Linked DNA regions of Xenopus tropicalis. The protein of the gene in region 1 purifies or fractionates together with the protein of each later gene. This does not show direct contact. Links are inferred from orthologs where the notes say so. Each region holds a gene or a part of one and is shown in the gene's direction. Other genes may lie near its edges.

Region 1 (2,992 bases):
CTCCTATCATGGCACAGCCGCTCTGGGATAGATTAGTAACCCTTTCCTCTCCTATCATGGCGCAGCTGCTCTGGGATAGATTAGTAACCCTTTCCTCTCCAATCATGGCACAGCTGCTCTGGGATAGATTAATAACCCTTCCTTTTCCAGCTGAGAAGGACAACTCCGCTTCTGCTCAATAGGTATAAGAAAGGTTTTTAGACTTTTGGGTTGAGGAGGTTATTGTCTGTTCAGTATTTGGTTGGGCCCCTCTCAGCCCATAACAAGATTGCCTTGGCCCGTGTAACAGCCCCCCCCCTCTGTAGCTGCAGGAAAATGCAGAGTCCCAGACATAGTCGTCCTACTTTCCATCACTAAAGGGCTTTATTTTTGGGCCAATCAGATGCATTTAGCGTCTCCTTTTCACACCTGTCTGGTTTATTCATTGGGCAAAGGGATATGTCTGCTCCTCCCTATCCCTTGGTACATTCCCCCACCTTCACTCATTTTGCCTTTTTTTTCCTGCCCATTTCAGCCTGATTGCATCCCATTCTCTTGTTGCGTTGCTACGGGCGCCTCCCCCCCCCCCATGCTGAGCTCCTATGGAACATGCAAAGGGCAGTGTGGAAATGTCAGGCAGTAGAAGGTTTGTATGAGTGGAGCAGACAGTTCATAGATCAATATCCCCGGCCAACTGTACATCAGGCGGCAGTTGCAGTCCCACTGCCATTCTCTGACCTTTTATAAGAGCACGGGGCGGCCGTGCATCCTCCTGTAACTCTTTCATGGCTGGCTGTACCTTTTGTTTTATAGGGGGGTTTGTCCTGTGCACGGTGCTGCCGTGTAAGTGGGTTTTAGTATGTTGCTACGGTCCAGTTTAACCTAGCAACCAGGGAGACAATCACATGGGAGAAAGCCACTCACGACTTTGCTTTTTTGCCCCCAGCCGGCGACGACGAGATCTCCTTCGACCCCGATGACATTATCACAAACATCGAGATGATCGATGACGGCTGGTGGAGAGGTTTCTGCAAGGAGTGTTACGGTCTGTTCCCGGCCAATTACGTGGAGCTTCGTCAGTAAGGCGCCCAATGCCGCCATTATCGTTAGCCGGGGGGGGAGGTGCAACGCAGCGGCATTGCCCCATGAATGGCTACATTGCAGGCTCCTCCCCCTGCGCCTCGCGTTGCCATAACTAAGCTGGATCCTTACACTACAAATCATGAGTTTTTGGAGAGGGTTTAGATTTTTTTTTTTTTTTTCAAATAGCTTTTTTTCTGGCTTTTAAGGAGCAGTTTATTCTGCAGACGGGCAAACGATTCTTTTAATGACTATTAACCCATTCGCTGCCAGATGTGCCTCCGCTCCATTGGACAAATCTTTTTACATCTTTTTACATGGTGCTGTTTCAGCGCCGGGGGGTTTCGGTTCTCTCTCCATTGTTTCCGCAGCGCCCGACTGAGGCTCCGCCTCTCGTTTCTTTTGTCTCACCTGCATTCATTGTAATCAGTGGGTGGTTCTTCTGTCTCCCCCATAATTCTTACCCCCTGGGACACGACCCCCAAATACACAACATTCTACAATTGAGCCGCCTTACTGGGATGGTCAAGGAGACGCCCCTCGTTACCCCCCAAATTTAAATTTATTTGTCCTGTTTTTTTTGCTCTTAGCTTGGCCTTTACCGTGACCAAATTAGCATCATGCGTATTTGCCGACAAAAAAACATACTGTGCGTTCTGCCTTTTTTTAAGCAAACTGAACCGGATCAGGCTGTGATTGGCTGACATGCACTTGTTGTCCCAAGCTCCTCCCCTGATTTAACAACCCCCCATCCCTTTGCCCATTATACCCAACAGAAACCCGTCAGTATTATCAACACGCCATATGGTGCTCCTGCTGAGCTTTTAGGGCAGAAGTGACACGCCTGGACTCCTGGTTACTATGACAACCCGTGCATCTCCCATTAGGCTTTTCCTGTTGGCAGGGAACCATTTCAGAAAGAAGATTTGGCTCCCCCAAAGGGCTGCCCAATCACCTACACTGTCCCGTGTCGCCCTACAAATATGGCCATAAGGTCTTGTAAATTTTTCTTTGCAATTTACATTTTCTTCTAGTTTTCAAAATATTAGCAGTTTTTTTTAACAGCTTCTATAATGAATTTGGGACAACAGTGCCCCCTGCTGGCCATTTCAACCAATCACCAGCAGGTTGTGCTCTTGTTCCACATTAGATTTTGGACCAATGTTTAGGCTGATACTAATTGGTGCGGTAGAGGGCGGTGTGCGCCAAGTAGGGGTGATTTCTTTTTGGGGGGGTGAAATACATAAACGTGGGTGGGTTTTTTTATCCTTAGTTCCTTTTATCTGTTTTTTGCATACAGCACTTCATGTATGATTTTGTAAATGATGCTTCAATAAAGTTTTTTTTTCCAACCATGATACGGGCGATACATACAGATTGATATAGACGTGGGAGCTGCCATATTGAGGGCGCACTTATAGTGTAAGATATATTAAAAAGCTGCTTGGAATTATATTTTCTTTCATTATGCAAAAAAGTTATATTGGGTAAACTTCCCCTTTAAACTGCGCACCACACATGTGATATACCAAGGAATGTGGCTGTACTATTGGCTAAAATAACGTATTGAAGGGACTAGGAGAGAGCAGGATGGGAGGTCCCTGCCCCGTAGAGCTTACAATCTATATGGGAGGGTAACTTACACACACAAATGGGCAAATATAAGTGCTGTAGGTCACAGTGGGTGACATTACAATATAAGTGCCAGTTCCCAGATCAGGGGCTGGGCGAGTGCTCCAAAAGGGAGACTTTTAGTTTGGTTTTAAAAAGACTGGGGGAGGATTCTCTCCGGAGGAAATCAGGGAGGGCATTCCCAATGTGAGGGGCAGCAGGGCAGAAAGGGTTAAGGCGGGAAACTGCAGTAGTAGTGGGGGGTGCAACCAAACGATTGCTCTGCGAGGACGTTAGCAGGGGAAGGGCCTGAACTCTCCTG
Region 2 (3,655 bases), on another chromosome or scaffold:
TTTTGATCCATATAGGATCGTCATCAGGACGTCCTATATGGTCCTGATGACGATCCTATATGGATCGAAACGCGTAGACATTTTTGTGTAAATAAATACTCGCTTTTTTTCACAAATACCGTGAGTGCTTCCCGAAGGAGAATATATATATACACACACACACACACACACAAAGTATATATCTGTTAGTATCTATGTTGCTTTCATTCTAAATCAAAGAGAAACAGTTAAAGCCAGCGATCTGTATGTTGCAGCCCAATGGCTCCTGTGAGTTGCACGGTTCAGCTAAGGATTCTGGGAGCAGTAGTTATTTAAAATAATTGTCAGCAGCAGAAACACTGGGATATTCTTCTGTCTTTCTTTTCCAGCTTGCTGCTCTCTCTTCTCTAAGGCCTTTATTTTATTGCAAATTTGCTTTCAGGCAATCGCCGGCACAATATACATTATTTACCTGCAGGGGTGTCTTCCCATTCCTATGTCATTAAGTAGACAAATATACTAGCATGAAAGCTGCCATACTGCTGGAATAAAACTAGCACCTCTATTGGGGATAAGGTCATGTAGAAAACATTTCAGTAAGATACCCCTGCTTATAAATACTGTATATTCCCTCTCTAAAGGCCATTTTGGCTGATACTCTTTTTGTGGTCAGTTTTACATTTATAAAATATTTATTTATGTATATTTATCTCCGGCAGGTAATGACTTGGGCCCGAGTGCTGCAGACAGAACTCTAAATAAGTTTGAGAGATTGTCACAGTCATCAGGGTAAGTCATTAACATCTGGTTTTAAGTTGAGGGTCTCATTCACTTTAGTCAGAGAGTAAAAAGATGAAGAATAATTCAGTTTGTTTTGCAGGAAATGTTTTTCTTTGTGGAGAGGAACCTGGAAACATATATATAATTTGTACTTTTATGTTTAATTTGTTATTTTAGCACAGGAACAACAAAGACTGCATTAGGCCCAAGAGTCCTACCAAAACTACCTCAGAAAGGTTAGTCTTTCTACAGTTTGTCTTCTCCTCCTTTCCTTCCTGTGTCTTATATGTAAAATGTGTGTGGGCACATTATCCCTTATAATATAACTCAGCCGTCAGCCTTGTGCCTTTATATGGGCACAGAACCCCTCAGTGACTGCTAATATCCTTATCATTTACAGTAGGGGGTACATTATCCCTTATAATACATGAGTGATACTCATATGTAAAATAGGATAAAGGCTAATTGTCTATACAGTGATTGTTTCTGAGATGTCTCATTATCCTTCTTTGTTTGTCCCCAAAGTGGCACTTAGGAAAATAGACACCACTCATCATCTCTCAATGGATAAGTATAACCAGCAACCCGAAATCTTCCAGAAATCTCCCCAGCCTGGAGATCTGCCTCAGAAGCCACAAATTGCAGATCTTCCTCCGAAACCGCAGCCTTTGGATATCGCCCAGAAACCACACGTCGGAGATCTACCTCCCAAGCCCGGAGAATTGCCTCCTAAACCTCAGCTAGGAGATTTGCCCCCGAAACCGCAAGATTTACCTCCAAAGCCACAGCTGAAAGATCTTCCGCCCAAGCCCAACCTGGCAGAGGTGATGTGCAAAACTCCTGTTGCGGATATAGTCCCCAAACCTCATACCAATGAGGCCAATCAAAATTCCCAGCCGGTGGATGCGACCCATAATGCACAGCCCACGGACCAAACCCCTGTCCAGAAGCAAGTTCCAGAAACTTCCAATAATGGCCCACCGCCTCTTCCAGAAACACCCGTGCCACTTCCCCGAAAGATAAACACAGTAAGTTCTGTGCTTAGTCAGCATTTCGTAAAATGTGCAGATAAATCACAATCAATAATCATAGCAATGAGGTGCCCTACAACCCAGGTTGAAGATCTAGAACAGCATCATTGTCCGGAACAAACTGACTTTTTTTTTTTCTTTTAAAGGGGAAGAATAAGCTTAAACGAGTTAAAACAATATACGACTGCCAAGCGGACAATGATGATGAACTCACATTTGCGGAGGGGGAAGTGATTATCGTCACTGGAGAGGAGGACCAGGAGTGGTGGGTGAGTATCCTGTAACCATGAGATACACTATAGGGTGGGATAATTCTATGATACTGCTGTATATAAGCTGTGGCTAAAGGAATAGCTACGGGTTTGGCACTGTAACTACCACCAGTCACCACAGCCAATCAGCAAAACAATGGGAAGGGAGCTCAGACTAAGGCACACTTTACTGCTGCGCTGCAAGTTGGAGTGCTATCCCCCCTCCCCCCCAGCAGCCGATCAGCAGAACAATGGGAAGGGAGCAAGGTAGCAGCTCCCAGTAGGTATCAGAATAGCACTCAATAGTAAGAAATCCAAGTCCGGCTTGGGACTCCTCCAGTTACATGGGAGTAGGAGAAACAATAGGTTAGCTGAAAGCAGTTCTAATGTGTAGCACTGCCTCCTTCTGAAAGCTCAGACTCAGGCACACTATACTGCTGCACTGCAAGTTGGAGTGATATCCCCCCCCCCCCCCCTTCTCACCCCCAGCAGCCGATCAGCAGAACAATGGGAAGGGAGCAAGATAGCAGCTCCCAGTAGGTATCAGAATAGCACTCAATAAAAAGAAATCCAAGTCCGGCTTGGGACTCCACCAGTTACATGGGAGTAGGAGAAACAATTGTTTAGCTGAAAGCAGTTTGCTAATTATGTCCGTATTTGTGATTGTCTATTAATCATCTCATTTTGTGTATTTACTGCAGATTGGGCACATCGAAGGCTTCCCGGACAGGAAAGGAGTATTCCCTGTGTCCTTCGTCCACCTGTTGACTGAATAATAAGCAAAGCATATCTGCCCCCCCGCTGCAATCCGCTCTGTGCTCCACTCTGTGTATATAAGCTGCTGTTACACAGTCCATTTCATCCCAAACCTTCATCTTGTGCTGAACTCTATATGTGTATTGTCAGTGTACAACGTCCTTCTGCCTTTGCCAGTATTACAGTAGCCCAAGGGGGACACTTGGAAGCCGTCCGTGGCCTCTGGGCAAGCTGTGATCCATCCCTGCCAACATTCCCCATCTGGGCTGTCTCCGTTCAACACTATATATCTGCCGGGGAAACCGCTTCTCCATTGCCCGGACCTGCCAACAAGCCCCCCCCCTGTATGAACACAACCAGTGACTCTAGGTATTTATTGTATCAATGGCAGAATTCCACGTAGATTTTAATTATTGATGGTATTAATGTGCCCTGTGTCTGTTCCCTGTCATTGGCCGCCTCCATGCCGTTACTTTGCTACAAGTAGTACAGAAAACAAAAGCTATATTTCTATCTAAAGACTTCTTTTGTTAGAAGGATATACATATATAAATATATATATACACTCACACACACACATATATATATCTCTAAATGACATTTGCGGTTTGTTTGGTCGGACTCAGACGAATGAGAGCGATATTAGTCTGTTTACATTATGCATGCATTTCTTACCCGATTCCGGCATACTTGAACCTGCCTTTACGGAAACAGGAATTTCATTGTAGCCCTAAATGGGGCCAACGGGGGGAGTCACGGGCCATCGCAGAGATTCTATTTTTTCCCCCCCATGTGAATAGCCACATGGAACAGACAGTGTTAAATATGGCGTCGAGCCCTCTCTCAGTAATAAATATC
Region 3 (4,173 bases), on another chromosome or scaffold:
TTGCACAGAGCATAGAACTGATAGTAATTACAGGGTACTCTTAAGCAGGTGGCCCCCAGTGGGGAAACTACCATACAGCAGACCCTGAGACCGCAGGGGAGCCTGGGGAGGGGCCTGGACAGTGGCAGGGTTCTATATATGGCACCACCAACTCCCCATCCCTTGAGCTTCCAGGACTGTTATGGGGTGCAGCTAAGCATGAAAGCCATTTTTGACTTGTGCCAAGTAATTTAGGCGCTAGTGATGTCCTATCTCACTTCATTGCCAAAAAAAAATCACGAAATGGCAAAAATTCACAAAATTGAAGTCAATGGGTTTTGATGGGCATTTTTTTGGCAGAAATAACTTTGCTCATCTCTATCAGGCACTAGTGACATCACTAATGACGCCATTATTCCAAAGACCCAATAAGGAAACCATGCCCTGCCTAGGGATGTTGCTATTATGATGGAATTTTAGGAGGAAGCACTGCAGGAAATAAACATGGCAGATAGCCAGTGGCCTCGATAGTTGCTGGGCATCACAGCAAAATGATTTTAGCCCTCCTTCTCCAAAAAGCGTTTTATCAGTCAGTGCCCCCTAGCAGTGGTACGGTCTGTGTCTGTATAGCCCCGCCCCTGCGGATACCGAGCTCAGTCGTTTGATCTACGGGCAGGCGAACAGACACATTTATGTACATTGTTGCCTCCCTTTGCGCCCCCCGGGCAGCGTATCCTGAGCAGCCCCAGTGTCAGGAGCAGAACATTAACCCTTCTGGGGCGCCACAAGGGGAACTCATGCCAAGAAAGCAAGTTCCAACCGCTGCTCTTTTACATGGGATCGGGGATGAAATACTCCCTCTGTTAAGGCACATTTCGTGGAGCAGAGCGGTGACTGCTAGTTGCCACCCAAAGATGTTCTGCAGCAGCTGCAATGTTTACTGTAGGGGAGAGAGATCTCCAAAAATGAATGAAATGAGCTCAGATCTGCGGTAAAAAGCCTACAATCACTGTCCTGATACTGAGAAGGGTTCTGCCTGGGGGTTATCTGCTTATCAAGGAAGCCCCCCCCCCCCCGCACCTCAGCCGGGCAGAAGGGGTTAAATTCCTAAGGAGCAGGCATCCCGTTTTCCCCCTCTCTGCCTTGAGGCTGTGCAGAAATTCAGGCTTCTGAGAAAATGAAGGCTGACCTCATCCCAAAGCTTAAGGGGGGGGCGGGGTTCCTAACAAAACTCATCCTCCACCCCCCCCCCCCCCCCCCCCCTTTCTCTTTGCTATTTTACCAATTAAGGCTTTCTCAATCTGAGAGGGAGAGAGGAGAGACAGATCAAGGGGGTGTCATTCTATTGACAGGACTACTTGCGAGGCATTCCCCCCTGTACAGAGCAGGACACAGGCTCAGCTGCTCTCCTCTATAGTTTGGGACTCACTGAAGGCAAAGGTAAGGGGGGGACCCAGGCAGCTGAACTGCTCTTCTCTCTGTGTGTGTGTGTGTGGCTTACCTGTGCAGTGTAGGGTTTCTGAACATGTTGTCCCTTCTTTTGGTGCCTACTTTAATGCTGTAACAGGGCTGCAACTTGTATGTCTGACACTGACTGAGTGGGCTGCCTGCACATTGTGTTGACTTTGTTACTTGTATGTCTGACATTGTGGTGCCCTTTGTTTGCTATTTGTGTGTGTGAGGTATAGAAAGGTGCCTGCACATTGTGGTGCCCTTTGAAGATGCCTACACTTGATGTGACCCCATTTATATGTGTGTTTATATTGTGGAACAAGTACATACTGTACTGCTTCATTGGGCTGGTGTATATGGCAGCCGCATACTGTTGGCCCCTAGATGTGCCTATGAGAGCCCCCTGCAGTTTATTGCTGTGCCAGGGTTGCACTGGATTCTGCACTACCTGCACAATGTTGCACCTTAGGTGTGTCGCTGCTGTGACAGTTCTGTGATTGCTGTATAAGTTGCGTGTTGTTGGAACCACTCTACCCCTCATGGCTGGGACAGCTTTGGATACTTCCTGCACATTGTCTTTCTGCACCTAATAGTTGTAACAGTTGTGCTTTGTGTATGTTGGACCGTCTCTAAAGTTTATTACTGAGCTGCCAGAGTGCTTGTTCTGTACTGGGAGCCGGTATGAGAACAAGGGGTGTGGAGGCTGCCGGATAAGGCTGCATTCAGGCGATAGTTTCTGTGAGCCGGGAAAGTGTTTTTAGTGCCTGCATGCACTGGATTTATATGTACTGCTTGGCAACGAGGCTGCAGGGCACAACAAACAAACTGGGAAAAAATACCTACAATTTGCTGTTGTTTCTCAAGACAAAGAGTTCAGCTGGTGACAGTGGCATTGGCAGCACTTTGTGTCCCTTCTGTGACAGCAAACAGTTACTCTATTTATTACTGCCTGGTTTTGACTCCTAAAACATTTAGCTGACAGACTTGGAGGGGATCTGACTTCTACAACACTGTTTCAAGAGTCAGAACCAAACAACAGAAAAGGATAAACAAATACTGCATTTCTCTTAATGCCAGTAAATAATTCTGTATCCTACAATTAACTGCCCCTTTCTTTTACTCTATGGCAAGTGCTTATCTCCCTGGGCATCTTAAGCTGACCATACACGTACTGATAAAATGGTATGAATCCTAGTTTTGTATGATTTTCAGACCGTGTGTGGGCTCAGAATTGTCGCCCTGATAATTCTCTTACTATGGAGATCAGTCGTTTAGCCGATCGGCCGGGTTAGAAAATATTGGTTGCAAAACGATAAAATCTGCACGTGTATTGTGTATCTGACGATATCCTTTGGTTTTAGATCGTTGCATTTAAACGTACGAATGATATGCCTAATCTTTGCCCATACCTTCCTCATTGTGAGTGCACCCATGCAGAATGATGTGCCTCCTGCTGCAACATATAAGCCTGTTAGTCACCAAGTTTCCTGACCATATAAAGATTTTAAGGCAATAAGTGAACTCATAATATCATTATATCACCTTAAGTTTTGAGCATGCACTAATGCATACCTTTAAAGGCTTAAGGGCACTGAATACAAATGATGACATCACCAAGTATAGGGAATAATGCACCCCCTGTTGTAAAACATAAGGATATTAGAAGTCATCAAAGAAACAATGAGCTATAGGTCACAGAACTTTTTCTAATATCCTTATATTTTACTACAGCGGGTACAGTATTTTGTATAATACAAACGTTGCAGTGTCACTCACTGTAACCGGCAGCACTAATTACCCTCCTGTTTGTGTTACCTTCCCATTTAGATCATAAGCTCTATGGGGCAGGGACTTCCACCCTCTTGTCTCTGATTCTTAACTTATTGCAACTGTACCTATTTATTGCATTATCTATTATTGTAATGACCCCCCTGTTTTATTATATTGTATTTAATTGTTGTTTTGCTGTACAGCGCTGCATACATAAGTAGCGCTATATAAATAAAGATATACATACATACACAAACAACATCACTAAGCACCGATTATATCTGAAAACATCACTAAGCACCATTTATAAAGGTATAATTCATGGCTTTTAAATATCATGAATAGAAATTGTTCTGCTGCCCCCAGTGACATAAGGATGCGCAATAGAACCACTTACCTCTGAGAAAAAATGGTTGATAGGTCACTGTCCTTAGCTCTTTTGGATAGGCATTATCACTTAACAGTGTATGGTGGGATATGTTACTAGATACTCGGCATTACTATATCGTAGTCTGGGTTATGTGTCTGGTAAAATTTGAGGGTATGTATTAGTACATGCTCAAAACTTAATTGCTAATATATATATACAGTATAAATGGGAGCTGCCACATTGTTTACCTTTGCAGTTCGGTTAATGTGAACATAGACTCTTATGATAATAATGTCATTGCCATCATACATACAGAACTACAGAATCCCAAGAGGTGGTAAAGCCCTTAACCCCTTCAGTAGACAGCGGCCGTGCCTGCGCCAGTAGCATCATATTGTTGCAGGAAGAAGTTATGGGGAAGATAAACTTATCTTGCAGGAAACATTGTATTTAAAGGACTGTGTTTATGCTCTATAAACATGTCTGAGTGCAGGAACCGCCATAGAACTGCATCAAAGACATACAAAGCTCCCATACGAATTCAAACCAGGGGGTCATAAAAATACCCCAATATAAAGTGCCTCTAATGCCTTGTAGCTCTC

The links.
Region 2: the proteins of cttn (region 1) and asap1 purify together in Homo sapiens (affinity purification with western blotting; 6 studies listed by BioGRID and IntAct, with this or other methods). This does not show direct contact. The link is inferred for Xenopus tropicalis from reciprocal best matches to the Homo sapiens genes CTTN and ASAP1.
Region 3: the proteins of cttn (region 1) and flna purify together in Homo sapiens (affinity purification with mass spectrometry; 3 studies listed by BioGRID and IntAct, with this or other methods). This does not show direct contact. The link is inferred for Xenopus tropicalis from reciprocal best matches to the Homo sapiens genes CTTN and FLNA.

Annotation. Positions count from the first base shown.
Region 1 is NC_030680.2:14,584,620-14,587,611, forward strand, and holds the end of cttn (src substrate cortactin), read left to right. Parts: intron 1-925; coding exon 926-1,062; 3' UTR 1,063-2,414; downstream 2,415-2,992.
Region 2 is NC_030682.2:142,077,383-142,081,037, reverse strand, and holds part of asap1 (arf-GAP with SH3 domain, ANK repeat and PH domain-containing protein 1), read left to right. Parts: intron 1-698; coding exon 699-768; intron 769-936; coding exon 937-995; intron 996-1,284; coding exon 1,285-1,787; intron 1,788-1,936; coding exon 1,937-2,059; intron 2,060-2,742; coding exon 2,743-2,817; 3' UTR 2,818-3,655. UniProt on the Homo sapiens protein: Possesses phosphatidylinositol 4,5-bisphosphate-dependent GTPase-activating protein activity for ARF1 (ADP ribosylation factor 1) and ARF5 and a lesser activity towards ARF6.
Region 3 is NC_030684.2:31,756,524-31,760,696, forward strand, and holds the start of flna (filamin-A), read left to right. Parts: upstream 1-1,284; 5' UTR 1,285-1,419; intron 1,420-4,173. UniProt on the Homo sapiens protein: Promotes orthogonal branching of actin filaments and links actin filaments to membrane glycoproteins. Anchors various transmembrane proteins to the actin cytoskeleton and serves as a scaffold for a wide range of cytoplasmic signaling proteins.